Arabidopsis thaliana: one gene and its partners. The protein of the gene in region 2 interacts with the protein of the main gene of each other region in a biochemical or structural test. Each region holds a gene or a part of one and is shown on either strand. Other genes may lie near its edges.

Region 1 (4,699 bases), on a different chromosome or scaffold from region 2:
TCACAAGAATAATGCAAATTCTTAAGTGATTGAAAGACATATTAGGTGAATATTAGTTCACTAAACGTCATGACACATATCTAATCATTTCAATTAGTTTAGGAATCGAATAATACGTGGGTCTAAATCAAGGGGCAGATAACGCAAAGAAAGAGATTGATCAACAAACATATATGTTTGGTAAAGAGAAGCCAAGCTTATTCACCATAAATTTTATTTAATCAATGATTTATTTTTCCTTTTTTTTGTCTTTTCCGGTGAGAGTTAAAATCAATCATTCTATTATCTCCAAGGGGAAAACGTCTAGTCAATAAGCAAAATGAATATCAAATAAATTTGATTAAAAATGTAAAATCAAAAGTTTTGAGGTTCTGAAATCATTGAAGATTATAGTCTAAAGATCAGGTTAGGTCTATGTGGAATTGATATGTATGGAAGACACTCTGGCTCATTCAGAAGGTTTCAAATAAGCTGGTTTAGATACTATTGTCCAAGAAAGACAAGTGCTCTCTCATTCTCATTGGTTCGCGCGTGTAAGCTCTCATTGTCTTTAGGTTTGGAACATAATCCTTAAGACAATTGGTGTGAATCTAGGAAACAGAGAAATCAAGGATTCGTGGTATATTTACAGATCAAAATGCAAACAAGAATACAAATACTTGTTACTAGTTCTTCAACTTTTGTCATTTTCAGACTACAAACAACAGATTTTTGATTCCTTGGGTAAACAAGTTATGAAAAAGGAGAAAACAAATACTTATAGCTCTAATTCTCCTGTTGATTCCTTTCTTCTTGTTGAATCAGAGTATAGAACAACCTTTCTGAGATTTTCTCTTCTTCTTCTTCTTGTTTTTTGGTGGCTGGAGAACGACCTTGATAGCCGCATCAAACACTGCTTTCACATTCTGTTGAACAGATAACAGATATAGGAATCATCAGCAGATTCAATTGGCGGTTTTAGACAGGTAAAGATTAGATAAAGATATTGACTCTCAGGTTAATACCTGTTGAGTTTTTGCACTGCATTCGATATAAGCAGGCGCCCCAATCAGCTTCTTTAGTTCTTCACCCTGTTTTGATACCATCAAAATATGAAACATGCAGAATATTAACACCTAGGATTCAGTTTAGAAAGATAATGAGAAAGGTACCTGAGCGGTAGAGATAGGCACAGCACCAGGGTGCTCGGCAAAGAATTGCTTATCATCTCGAAGATCTGTACGAGACTCAGTCATCAAAATATCAGAAGAGTTCCCCAAAACAGAAAACCCCCGATAATCAGGCGATTAAGAGTTGAGCTAAGAAAAAACCAACCAAGCTTTGTTCCAACGAGGATGATGGGAACACCAGGAGCATAATGTCTCAGTTCAGGAACCCACTAAGAATCAAAAGCAAGATACCAAATGTATTCTATCAGAATCACTGAATGTAAACTGAATAAAACAGGAAAGAAGTTTCAGGAGAAGACCACAGATCAAACCTTTTTAGAAACATTTTCATAGCTAGCTTTGCTGACAAGTGAGAATGCAAGTAAGAAGACATCTGCACCGCGATAGCTCAAAGGTCTTAGTCTATTGTAGTCCTCTTGCCCTGTTTCACCAAGTCAAAAACACAAATGACTCTCTGGAAGAGGAGGAAATTCAAAAGACAAAAAAATCCAAGGTAACAACTTGCCTGCAGTATCCCACAATCCCAAGTTGATAGTGTTGCCATCAACAATCACATTGGCACTGAAATTATCGAACACAGTTGGCACATAATCCTGTCACATAGAAAATTCCACTAAAACATCAGCTACAAAATCTCCTTACAGAAAGTTACCTAACACTCTTTCTAAGATCATTAAACAGATCAACAACATTGCTACGGTACATGAATCTCTGAGTCTCTCAAATCCTAAAGATCACATCAGTACATTCACTAAGGTAGCAGAAAGAAGAAGACTTTAAGAAAACCTAACAAATACTTGTGACTAAATCCAACTCATAAGCTTCAACAACAAAACCAACTTCACCAAGCTAAAATTTCACGAAATCAAAGTAAAAGAAGAGAACTTTAAAGCTAACCGTGGGGAAAGTGTTGCTAGTGTAGGAGATGAGAAGACAAGTCTTTCCAACAGCACCGTCGCCGACAGTGACACACTTGATAAACCTTGAAGCACTCATCTTTCTCTCCTTCTTCAAACTTCAAAAACCCTAATTTGTTCACGAATTGGGGATTTTTGACTAAAGAGAGAGAGAGTGAGGTTCTTTAAAGAGAAAGAAGACAAAGAAATAGCTGCTGAAAGTCTCTCCCAGACTAGAGTCTTCCTAATTTTTACTACTCATCCTCACATGCACCTCAATTTCTTGGTCTTCTTCTTCCTTTTTTTTCTTCTTTTTACTAAAATTTTATAAAATAGCATTTCTTCTTAGATAGTGCGTTTCCCAACATAAGACCCTACAAAAATTTATGGGATGAAAATTATAATAATAATTTCTATGTACTTTTTTTTTTTTTTTTTTTTAAACTTCGTTTTCATCTAATACTATGCAGCCCATATACTAAATGCCTAAATCTATACATATTTAGATTGATCTTTAAATATCAATAAAAAATTTAGCTAAATTTTGACTGGTTTAGAGGATTTTTCCGATGTGTCATTAGGATTATACAACTATGGTTTAAATATCAATAAAAAATATAGCTGGTTTTACAATGCAATATGATTGGAGTGTTAATTTTTATTGATCAGCCTCCTTTGGATACATATTCTTCTGTTACATGTTAAATGATAATATTTTTGTCCCGGTATGTTGAAGTAAACATTAAAAATGTACATACAACTTCTCTAAGAAATAAATGTTGAGACACTAAAAAAAACGTGAACTTAAGGTCAATATTTAATATTTTTATAACCAATCACGGTATAAAGGCTTACCTTTTGAATCTGTCTAGCTAGTTATTGACCGTTAATTTTAAAAACACTTATTGACCGTTAAAGAATCTGTTATGGGGACCCAAAAAAAACGAATGGTAATTTCACTAATTTGTTATGTTATGTCCAACATAATAGGCGAAGAATAGGGTGAAACCAACATTTAAAAATAGCAAAAACAAATTAAAAAAAAAAAATCGAAAAGGAAAAATGAAGAGAGTTTCAAAGTTACAACGGTGGATTCTATTTCAGACGCGTAAATTTCTCCGGAAACCTGAAAACCTGAGTGCGAAACATTCTCTTATATCATCCTCTTTTCTGAAAGCTTGTTATTTGAGCTCTCCTTGTTTTTTATTCCTCCGACAAGGACGAGGTTCCAAGAGAACTTAGCTTCTTGTTCTACGTACGACACCAAAAATTAATTCAAAAAAGAAAAAGAAGAGAGTTCAATGAGAAAACATTCTCTTGATCGATGGCTTTTAACAGCTGTTCTTGTCGTTCTCCTCTCGTCTTCTTCCTCCTTCGCGGCCAAGAAGGACGCCAAGAAGAAGAAGAAGAGTAATAAGGAGGTGACATATGATGGAACCTCTTTGATCATCGATGGCAAAAGAGAGCTTCTTTATTCTGGCTCTATTCATTACCCGAGAAGCACTCCGGAAGTATTTATTGAATCACATAATCTCTGTTTTTCTAAAACGTTTTTTTTTTTTTTTTGTATATTGAGATTATTGTGTCATTTGGGTTTGGTTTAGATGTGGCCAAGTATCATCAAGAGAGCCAAGCAAGGCGGTTTGAACACGATTCAGACATACGTTTTCTGGAATGTACATGAGCCTCAACAAGGAAAGGTAATTCATAACCAAAAACTGATCTATATATAGAACATATAAAACACGCATGCATGAATCTTTAGGATTCATAATGTATTTTGTGTTGCGTTCATCAGTTCAACTTTTCGGGACGAGCTGATTTGGTGAAGTTCATAAAGTTGATTCAAAAGAATGGAATGTATGTGACCTTAAGGCTTGGACCGTTCATCCAAGCTGAATGGACTCATGGGTAATAATGCATTGCTTCTTCTTCTTTTTCGGCGTTCTCAAGATCTTCATTTTAACATTTTATATGATCTCTTTGTGATGATCAGAGGACTTCCTTATTGGCTTAGAGAAGTTCCTGGAATTTTCTTCCGTACAGACAATAAACAATTCAAGGTATTATACATAGAATTACTATATATATGTCAATGTGTGTTTTGTTACAATTAGATATATTACAAGATATGACCATAAAAATATTGCAGGAGCATACAGAAAGGTATGTACGGATGATACTCGACAAAATGAAGGAGGAAAGATTGTTTGCGTCACAAGGAGGCCCCATTATATTAGGACAGGTGACAACAAAGAAAAGAGAAACCTATATATTTATATATGATTTGAAAAATGTTATAAAATGATGAGTTTTGGAATGAATATGAATTGCAGATAGAAAACGAATATAGCGCGGTTCAACGTGCATATAAACAAGACGGGTTAAACTACATTAAATGGGCATCTAATTTGGTGGACTCAATGAAACTCGGGATCCCATGGGTTATGTGCAAGCAGAACGACGCTCCTGATCCTATGGTAAAGTTCATTTTTACATGATTGTGTTTTATCCGAATGAGGAAGAAAGTTTTAAAATATTTGAAAACACTGTGGAAACAGATCAATGCTTGTAATGGAAGACATTGCGGTGATACTTTCCCCGGTCCAAACAGAGAAAACAAACCATCTTTAT
Region 2 (4,654 bases):
AGCTTGTCTTTCACTGCGGAATAACTCCACGGAAGCTGCCGGTATGTGATTCATTTTCTGGCAGGTGGTTTTTTTCTTTTTTCTTTTTTTCATGTGATCTAGTTTCTTATTCTCAGCAATTAGTAGAGCACAATCCTCAGATAGCAGTTGAAATTCTCACCAAGTTGAATAACTCCACAGAGATTAATGAGTAAGTCATCACCTTATTGGTTCCACCATTTACTTTCGACCAAAATTATAACTTTTAAAGTGGGAATCTAAGAATGCTTCTTCAGCTATTATGAAGCTCTAGGAAATATGGACATGAGCCTGCACTCAATGGAAGTTGTGAATAGGCTCACAACTGCAGTTGAACTTCCCAAGGACTTCATACGGATGTACATCACTAATTGCATATCGTCTTGTGAGAACGCTAAGGTATTAAAACAAAGCGTCCTTTTGATTTCCCGTTAGGTACTTAAAACAAAGCTTTCTATGAGTATCCATAACGCCATCCTATAATCTTGTGTGAAAAAACTTCTGCTTGTGCTTTGCATTATGTGCTTTGTGTATATGATTCTCGGATTTGTTGATTTCAATGTAGTTGTTTTGTTAACGGTATAGTGATATATTGTTTTCGATCTGTAGCAGCAAGACAAATACATGCAGAATAGGCTTGTACGGCTTGTTTGCGTCTTCTTGCAAAGCTTAATTCGTAACAAGATCATCAACGGTATGCATTCTCTGTTTCTGACTGATTGCTATCAAATTAGGCGTTTTGCTTTGCTAATAACACAGAAAGATCACTAGATACATTCACAGAGGAAGCTTTTATAGTCTATTAGTATGATGTACAATTGTGGGTGATATATGTTTTTTTTGGGTAAAAAATGTAACAGTGAAGGATCTATTCATAGAAGTTCAAGCTTTCTGCATTGAGTTTTCTCGGGTTCGAGAAGCAGCTGGTCTCTTCAGGCTTTTGAAACAATTGGATGAATAATTTACTCTTTCTTCTTCTTCTTCTTCTTCTAATCATCTTCGTCTCCATTTTATTGTATTCCCTATTTTTGTAGCTAAAGAAAGTACTTTATTTTGAATCCAAGACAGTTTTCGCTTTTTCTAGAGTTTCATTCTCAATTCATATGTTTTTACAACAAAAATTTCTGGTTAGACTTAGACGGCATGTCCTTTCCATTAGGCTACTAACACTTAACCGTGAACGGTTTACATGCTCACACCGATAGCACCAACACCTGCTGGTTCTTATCCGGATTGGTTTAAGGCTCCGGTTAAACCTTAAAAGTTGTTACTGATTCTACAAAGTAACTTATTTTATGTTCAGTAGTTGTTCACTGTAAAATTGTATTTATATCTATTTTGTTTTGTTACTGGTATTACTCTTATGTATTTTCCCAAAATAAGAAATGGTTGAGGATAAAGGAATCAGTAAATAATGATTTAGCTGTCATCAAGTTTGCTTCATAGTAAAGACACAAATGTAATGCTTCTTCTCAAAGCTTTAATCGGATTGAACAAATATGTACTAAAGAAAAATTCTGAAAGGTGAAAATACAAACGAGGACCCAAAAAGAAACATTTTTTTTTTGTTACAGAAAAACAAATAGAAAAAGAAAGCTTCCAACTTTGCGAAATATTTGGTTCGGACAGAGTAGTAGCGAATTTATCGATCTCTGTCCGTAAAGAATCAGAAGAAAGGCGAATCAATTGACTTGAAGTAGTAGCAGCTCTCCTCTCCTCTCCATTGTTGTTGGGTAAGAGCCTTAAAGTTGAAAGCTTTATCCTTTAGTCGCCCAATGTTGCTAATTGCTTCGTCTGATCTTTCCAGGTGACTCAATGGCGGTTCCTGTAGAGGAAGCAATCGCAGCTCTTTCCACATTCTCCTTAGAGGTAACTTCGATATTCTAGATTTTGGTAAAATTTAGAAATTGTGGGTCTTTGGATCCTTTTGACTACAAATTTTCTTTCCGGAGTTCATATTTCAAAATTTTCTTCTAGAAAGGATATGAAATTATTGTTTCTATTTCTTGTTAAATCCTTTTCGTGTAAAATTATCACATATATTGTTTAATCACCTGTGGATCTTTGCCTAAGTTAGCAGTAAAATAAGTTTCAACGAAATGTTGAAGATTTAAGTAGCTTCTTGAAAAATTTGAAGTCACTCTAGTACATTTTCTTGAAGCATTTTGAATTTTGGTTATAGGATGAGCAACCAGAAGTCCAAGGACCGGCTGTGATGGTTTCAGCTGAAAGAGCAGCAACCGATAGTCCCATCGGTATGCTTCATTGTTCTCTTGTCACTCTTTTACCATAAAATCCAAATAATCAAGATGTTTTTTTTTTTATTACTATTCTGTAGAATATAGTGACGTCGCTGCATACCGGTTGTCTCTATCAGAAGACACAAAAGCTCTTAACCAGCTGGTATATGGCTATTCTTCTTCATTTGCCTCATCTTAGAAAGACTGATTAAATTACGATTTGATATTTTTACGGTTATGTTGTGTTAATCGTGTTATATTTGAATACTTCAAGTAAGTTTTCAACCAATTGTATATATGCAGAATACACTTATACAAGAAGGAAAAGAGATGGCGTCAATTCTATACACATATAGAAGTTGTGTCAAAGCACTGCCTCAGGTCCTTGTGAAATCTATCACTACACTCCTTGTCTCCATTGCATATCTACCTTTAGACATTTTATCTGATAAAATGTAGCTTTGAGAATTATGCTATGCGTTAGTTCTTCATGGTATTCGAAATCTCGTAGCAACTGTACGAGACTCTTTTTTGAACTACAAAGTATAATGCAGTTATAATGCAAAAATAAAAGCAACAACAAAGTTCTCTGTATAAATAATAGCGAATGATAGAAATTACTGAAAATAATATCAAATACAGTACTTCTTGCTGGGTGTTGTTGTGTATATTTCTTCCATAACACACATAACTTTCTTTATTAATGATATACATGCAGCTTCCCGAATCTATGAAGCATAGTCAAGCGGATTTGTATCTAGAAACATATCAAGTTTTGGACTTAGAAATGAGCCGTTTACGCGAAATTCAAAGATGGCAATCGTCGGCTTCAGCTAAAGTGCGGTGTATATCCTTCCTCGTCCAACTCGTTTTATATAAATTCCTGTATCAGAAATAATGTGCGTATATTCTCTGTCTGTGCAGTTAGCTGCTGACATGCAGCGGTTTTCCAGACCTGAACGGCGGATCAATGGTCCCACAGTCACACATCTTTGGTGGGTTATAACTCTTATTTTGTGTTTTGTATTAGATCCTTGGATGATTAACTTTCCTCGTGTATATAGTTTAACTGTGATTTTACTTAATATAGGTCAATGCTAAAGTTGCTTGACGTCTTGGTTCAGCTGGATCATCTTAAAAATGCTAAAGCTAGCATTCCTAATGATTTCTCTTGGTATAAGAGGTGAAAGATATAATACTTTTATCTTTCCTATCTATATTTTCTGCAAATAGGACACTTGAATGTAGGTAGATCGATGTTTGTTACTAATCCTTTCAGCTACTAAAGCTCTATTTAAGAGTTGAATTAGTTTCCTAGAAGCTTTTTTTTTTAGTTTATGTTCTTAAGATAGTTTCACTCTTTTCAGAACATTCACTCAAGTCAGTGCGCAGTGGCAAGATACAGATACAATGAGAGAAGAGTTAGACGACTTGCAGGTGTTTGCATGGCTTGTTTATGCAATCATTTGATAATGCCTTCCCCTGTGGTTTGTCGTAAATGAAAATGTGAGTTCTTATGTATGCAGATCTTCCTGAGCACAAGATGGGCTATTTTACTCAACCTGCACGTTGAGATGTTCCGTGTAAACAAGTATCCTTTCTTCCAGACATTTATCACCATCGTGTGGCTGTTAAAGACATTATTATGGGTTTGTCTATCTGAGATATGCATGCTGCTCAAGTCCCTTGTGCCATTTGACTATATTGCAAGCTTTTGGATTCCTTAGTAAATTCAGTGTGGAAGATATTCTCCAAGTTCTCATAGTCTTCATCGTGGAGTCTCTGGAGTTGGATTTTGCACTACTTTTTCCTGAGCGGTATATTCTTCTCCGGGTTCTACCTGTTCTTGTTGTCTTAGCAACACCATCTGAGAAAGATACCGAGGCTTTATACAAGAGGGTAAAACTCAACAGATTGATAAACATTTTCAAGGTATTGAGATTCATGTTATACCTGTTTTCGCATTCACAACCAATATACCGCAAAGCCTTGTTTCCAAGTCGCTAATTGTCATATTTGTTGTGTGTTTTTCGGCTATCAGAATGATCCTGTCATTCCTGCGTTTCCAGATCTCCATCTTTCTCCTGCTGCAATTTTGAAAGAATTGTCGGTATACTTTCAAAAGTTTTCATCACAGACTCGCCTTCTGACTCTTCCAGCACCTCATGAGCTCCCTCCACGTGAAGCGCTAGAATATCCTTTAATATTTTCACTGTTACTTGCCTATTTTAACTATTATCTGGATTATTGTTAACCGTACACATGCTTTGAAAATTGCAAGCCTTAACATATTTTACATATCAGAGGCACTATTTGATAGTCAATCACATTGGAGCTCTCCGTGCTGAGCATGACGATTTCACAATCCGATTTGCTTCATCCATGAATCAGGTGCT
Region 3 (4,661 bases), on a different chromosome or scaffold from region 2:
GAGTTACCTGATCATTTTCTCAACTTGTTTTGCTACACTATATTCTAGATCAGCTTCCTTTTGTTTAGTCCGTCCAGACTTAGCCATCTTCTTTGATTCTAACACTCGGGGTAAAACATACAACTGGTAGTCTTCGTGCAACAGAATGTACTGCATAGTTAGATTAATAGAGTCAGCTGATGCAAAACTAATTCCAATACCAAACTCTTTTTCGCAGACCATTTGATATAAACTCACCTCATCCCGGAATAACGTCACGACTAAGTTTTCCTTTAGCACGACCTGAAATACAACAGGACAGTATTAGAGACAGCACGAATTACACGCAATCTTGATTTGTTTTGAGCATCAAAAACCTAACTCCATTACTAATCTTAAGTTAAACAAACACTGAAAATGAAAGCACTTAACATTTTACAAACAAAGGCAGAGAGAGGCAGAAAATTTCTGATTTGTGAAACAAATTTATAGAACCTATTATTGACCAGATAAGATAGTTTTCAAGATAGAATCCTTGGAGGAAAAACTTCTTTATCAAGATCACAATCGAGAACAAAATGAAAAACAGATTCATACCAGGGCGATATCAATGCTAGTAACACGAAGAAGCTCGTCGGGGCAAACGAGATATCCAAGAAGCACCCACTCTCGGTACGAAGTAACATTTGCAAGATCTTGCGCTCTCTGTAGGAACCAAGAGTGTATTATCTAATATTAGCACTATACATCGAAGTAGAGTTGTAAGGGAAAGACAATAGCATCCTACTAATTCTGAGAATCCTAAGCTTTTATGTTGATAATAATCTAGCCGTTCGTACCATGGGATGAGCAGAATTTGTAAGTATATCTGGGAATCTAGGATGATATGGGCTTAAAAATCCCTCATTTCTCAACTTCCTCGTATCTGCAGATAGAAAAATACTGGGTCCTACAGCCTCCAGGACCTAGGAAAATAGTAACGTTGTTAGTACTGCTGTATCAGTTGCAATATTAGCTCGTAGGATACCCGTGATTTGAATAAAATATTAACCTCTCCAATCCTTGGGCTGACAAAATTCAAATCTTCTTGTAAGCCTTTCAATGGGGGATCATAAGAGTCTATGAATTGCACCAAGCTGGATGCAAGACGAGGAGTGTTAATATATGATATCAGAGTCTATTGATTATATACAAATTAAAAATGATACTACAAGGAAAAAAACATCCATACCGGTGATAAAAGTCACAGTCTCGATCATTTCTTGATAGCGCATGCAGAAGGTTGTAGACTTGCAACAACATTTTCCTAGGAATCTACTTTGATAAAATAAACACTCTTACATATTGATAATAATGTAATGTCTCACATGACATGTGTAATCAATCCAAATAAACAAAGAACTAAGAAAAGGAACAAGCTCAGCATACCTTCTCTGCGAAGAGATTGACTCGGACAAATGCACAAAAGAGATCCATGAATGCATGCAGAATAAGTGAGTTCTGATGAGGCTGCAAAAAGCTGAACTAAGTTATGAGCTAATCATGAATACTCAACAATTTTATCTTCATCCTCACAGACATTTTTGACAAGTAAATAATAACTTAATGTACCAAAACATTTCATGACCTCCACCTAAGGTACGAGTTCAAAAGAAAGCTCAAAGTTTCAACCCAGAGCAAGTAAATACTTTCCGCAGATGAGAGACTTTGACTCACCAGCAAGGTAATTACAGTGCTGCTTAGGTCCAATATAAGCCGCAGTGCCTGTTCTCGAAATGCCATCAAGTCGAGCAGCAGCTGATTCAAGAAAAGAAAAATGCATGACGAGAGGACTATGAAGGCACCCCTTACTGAAATGCTACACACGAACTAAGGAAAGAAGGCTAGCAAATAACTACTCGTTTACATTTTAAAAGTTAAAACCATGTATTAGGTAAATCATATATGCATGCCCAGATATATAAAGCTGACTAATGGTGAGATGGAATAGAAGATTGAATATTGACTATATAGCAGACTGAAGATTGAAGATTGACTAGGTACACAAAGAAAACTAATAGAAAGATTGACTATATAGCATGTAGGACTTCCGAGATGCTTCACCATTCTCGAACAACAAGTTTCACAACAACAGAACGTAAACCCAACAACATATTACATAGATAGTTTCTTATTACCTGTATCCATGGCTCTAAGCTCTGTAAGTGAAGTTCAGCACCATCATGCAAGCTATCCAGTGAAAACTTATCAATCTGCATAAGTATTGCAGAATAAATCTTTTTTCATTTACCATCAGATCAACAAATCAAACAGTAAGTCTAATAAAAAAAGAACTCATGACTTACACGTTCAAGTTGCAATTTGCTGAAATGCTCAGGGAACTTTTTAGAGAGCAAAGTGCATATCCGTGGATGGTTAGGGAAGACACCCGCTTTCCAAAATGCTTCAGAGAATACATGGCCAACAGGATCAGGATACTCCAAGATTTGATTCAGTCTATACATTTTAGCCATGAGACCGTCAGCAACCTCAATCATTTGAACTACCCATTGTATGTTCAAAGCCTTTGTGGAACCACCAACATGTCCATCAATTTGCTTAGAGCTCCTAGTAGAAGACACTGATGCAGCCATTTCAGGTCCCAAGTACTCAGTCCATCTGGAAGGACCTTCCCATTCCCTTGATCTCACAGAAGTCGGGGACATTGATTCATCTTGAGATGGATAATATTGACGAGAATTCGCCATTAATTCAGTACAATAATCTCTACAATAAAGGAAAATGTATTTCAAAATCACGTTACACAATCTCGTCCAACATAATTTACTTAGCTCTCTACTCTTGCATTCATCTTCCAAAAACCCAGTAATACTCAACAACGAGTGACGAGTGAGAATAGATATCCCCTCGTCAATTTCCCAGCAACCAAACAAGGAGCTAAAACCAAGTCAAGCAAGAGTCTCGTGAAGATTGAAAGTTACCTGAGAAGCTTTAAAGGCGAAAGTCAAATCGAGCAAAAATGTCTCAGTAAGATCGGAGCTTCGTCTGAGAGTTCAGATCTGAATTTCTGCAACCTACTCCGGAGACGATGATGACGACGACAAAGAGGAGAGAGAGCGTCGGGCTTAATCGGAGTGTGTGAGCCGAGAAATAAAGAGTTGCTAAATTCGGGTCTCTCTCATTTAAGACAAAATTAGTCAGTAGAATTTCTTTCGTTTTCAACTAAAATGCAGATTTTTTTATTTTTTTTTACTCTTTTCTTGCTCAAGCACATTTTTTACTTTTTACCTGTAAATCTAAACATTTCCATAGGAAACGAAACAATGTAAGTAGAAGAAAATTATGAACAATTGAACAGCTGAAAGTGTTTATCCCTTTCAAAAAATAAATTGTTTATAAAATTTTAATAAAATATGAGATTTTTAGTTATATTGAATCGGAATTGTCTACTTGAATTTGAGCAGTGCAAGACAACATTTTTTCACTAGAAAAAATGATATTTCAAATCATGTGTTGTTTTGGTTTGATTGTAGTTATTTGGATTACAAGTTTTTTTTAGCAAAACTATAGGATTAGCTCCAACTATTGAGATTTTAGCATAACAAACCAATGTTCTTTTATCATATGTACATTAACAGAAGGTAAATTCAAATCTACGACATCTATTTCAATAATGAGGATAGCTAAAATAGAAAAAAGTATTTGGTATATTATGTAGTAAGTACTATTTTTAGTATTTAAAAGGAAAATTTCTGTTAGAAAAAGAACAAACGTTCTAGTTGGGTGGTTGAAATGTAAGTTTTCGAAGCTTTGACAAAATGAGAACAAGTCCCTTAACCGGTAATTTTTAATATTTAAAAACAATTAACCAAGAGAACAATATTGACGTCGACAAATACTAACTTGTAGTATATAATTATCATTATCTCTACATATGGAGTAGCTTTTAGGTGTAATAATTGTCAATTATTTTAGAATTACTGTGTTAAACTTTAGTATGATTCGACTAATAAATAATGTTTCTGACGTTTCTGATGATGAATTTGCCCCTCCCTCACTTTTTGTTGCGTGTCCAAAGCTCAGTGCTATCCAAGCATTTCATCTTTTCAACATAATTATTTGATTTGAGAATTTAATCATAATGTTGATATTACTTTTTTACTAATAGAAAACAATCAAACAATCAAATTAATAAGTAAATTAGTGGAAACCATGACACACAAAAACAACTTCATATAATAAAGTAGGGTTGACAACGCAGGAATATTGTATTACAAGGCACATCTTGTAACTTTGTTGGACAACTGTGGCTAAACAAGCTTGGCCTTCACAATAAGCAACAATGATTCCAAAATCTTTTCCCTCTGTGCACATATCATTGCATCACAGATTTTGTTTCCTTTCACATTATCTTTTGAGGTCCCTATGAACCAGAAAATAACAAAAAAACGGTTTTCACACGGTTGCTACAATATGACCGAACCTATATTCTTTATTCGCATGAATCTTCCATTAGCTTCTTCTTTGTACTCGGCTATTATCTTGGATTCCAATTTCTTCATCTCAGGACTGGGCAGTTATTTTACTGAACTCCAAATTAATTCAAGAGTCTACAAGTGTAGTTGCTGCCGTGCCTAGACCTACGGAGGTAAGGTCCATCTGAAGAGAAGCATTTTTCTTGT

Evidence for each region. The genes of interacting proteins can lie anywhere in the genome.
Region 1: the proteins of PIR121 (region 2) and RAC3 form a complex in vitro, tested with the Arabidopsis thaliana proteins (one study listed by BioGRID).
Region 3: the proteins of PIR121 (region 2) and GRL form a complex in vitro, tested with the Arabidopsis thaliana proteins (2 studies listed by BioGRID).

What each region holds. Positions count from the first base shown.
Region 1 is NC_003075.7:16,670,642-16,675,340, reverse strand, and holds RAC3 (RAC-like 3), read right to left. Parts: upstream 3,150-4,699; 5' UTR 3,098-3,149; exon of another isoform or gene 2,921-3,097; intron 2,558-2,920; exon of another isoform or gene 2,510-2,557; 5' UTR 2,487-2,509; intron 2,423-2,486; exon of another isoform or gene 2,376-2,422; 5' UTR 2,166-2,375; coding exon 2,067-2,165; intron 1,763-2,066; coding exon 1,675-1,762; intron 1,591-1,674; coding exon 1,481-1,590; intron 1,379-1,480; coding exon 1,315-1,378; coding exon of another isoform or gene 1,235-1,314; exon of another isoform or gene 1,217-1,234; coding exon 1,152-1,216; intron 1,071-1,151; coding exon 1,005-1,070; intron 906-1,004; coding exon 801-905; 3' UTR 552-800; downstream 1-551. Other genes in the region: BGAL11 (beta-galactosidase 11), read left to right, coding at 3,367-3,576, 3,670-3,765, 3,864-3,976, 4,062-4,128, 4,218-4,310, 4,402-4,545, 4,627-4,699. UniProt on the Arabidopsis thaliana protein: Inactive GDP-bound Rho GTPases reside in the cytosol, are found in a complex with Rho GDP-dissociation inhibitors (Rho GDIs), and are released from the GDI protein in order to translocate to membranes upon activation.
Region 2 is NC_003076.8:6,101,963-6,106,616, reverse strand, and holds the start of PIR121 (transcription activator), read left to right. Parts: upstream 1-1,636; 5' UTR 1,637-1,751; intron 1,752-1,825; 5' UTR 1,826-1,833; coding exon 1,834-1,887; intron 1,888-2,200; coding exon 2,201-2,273; intron 2,274-2,356; coding exon 2,357-2,421; intron 2,422-2,561; coding exon 2,562-2,639; intron 2,640-2,976; coding exon 2,977-3,096; intron 3,097-3,182; coding exon 3,183-3,253; intron 3,254-3,348; coding exon 3,349-3,441; intron 3,442-3,625; coding exon 3,626-3,695; intron 3,696-3,784; coding exon 3,785-3,849; intron 3,850-3,994; coding exon 3,995-4,190; intron 4,191-4,299; coding exon 4,300-4,451; intron 4,452-4,555; coding exon 4,556-4,649; intron 4,650-4,654. Other genes in the region: AT5G18420 (CCR4-NOT transcription complex subunit), read left to right, coding at 1-41, 117-190, 276-417, 628-712, 879-979. UniProt on the Arabidopsis thaliana protein: Involved in regulation of actin and microtubule organization. Part of a WAVE complex that activates the ARP2/3 complex. Interacts with the active form of RHO-family GTPases.
Region 3 is NC_003071.7:14,800,800-14,805,460, forward strand, and holds the start of GRL (transcription activator), read right to left. Parts: upstream 3,052-4,661; 5' UTR 2,961-3,051; intron 2,746-2,960; 5' UTR 2,727-2,745; coding exon 2,325-2,726; intron 2,232-2,324; coding exon 2,157-2,231; intron 1,777-2,156; coding exon 1,696-1,776; intron 1,489-1,695; coding exon 1,408-1,488; intron 1,294-1,407; coding exon 1,211-1,293; intron 1,116-1,210; coding exon 1,031-1,115; intron 945-1,030; coding exon 819-944; intron 685-818; coding exon 577-684; intron 283-576; coding exon 8-282; intron 1-7. UniProt on the Arabidopsis thaliana protein: Involved in regulation of actin and microtubule organization. Part of a WAVE complex that activates the Arp2/3 complex.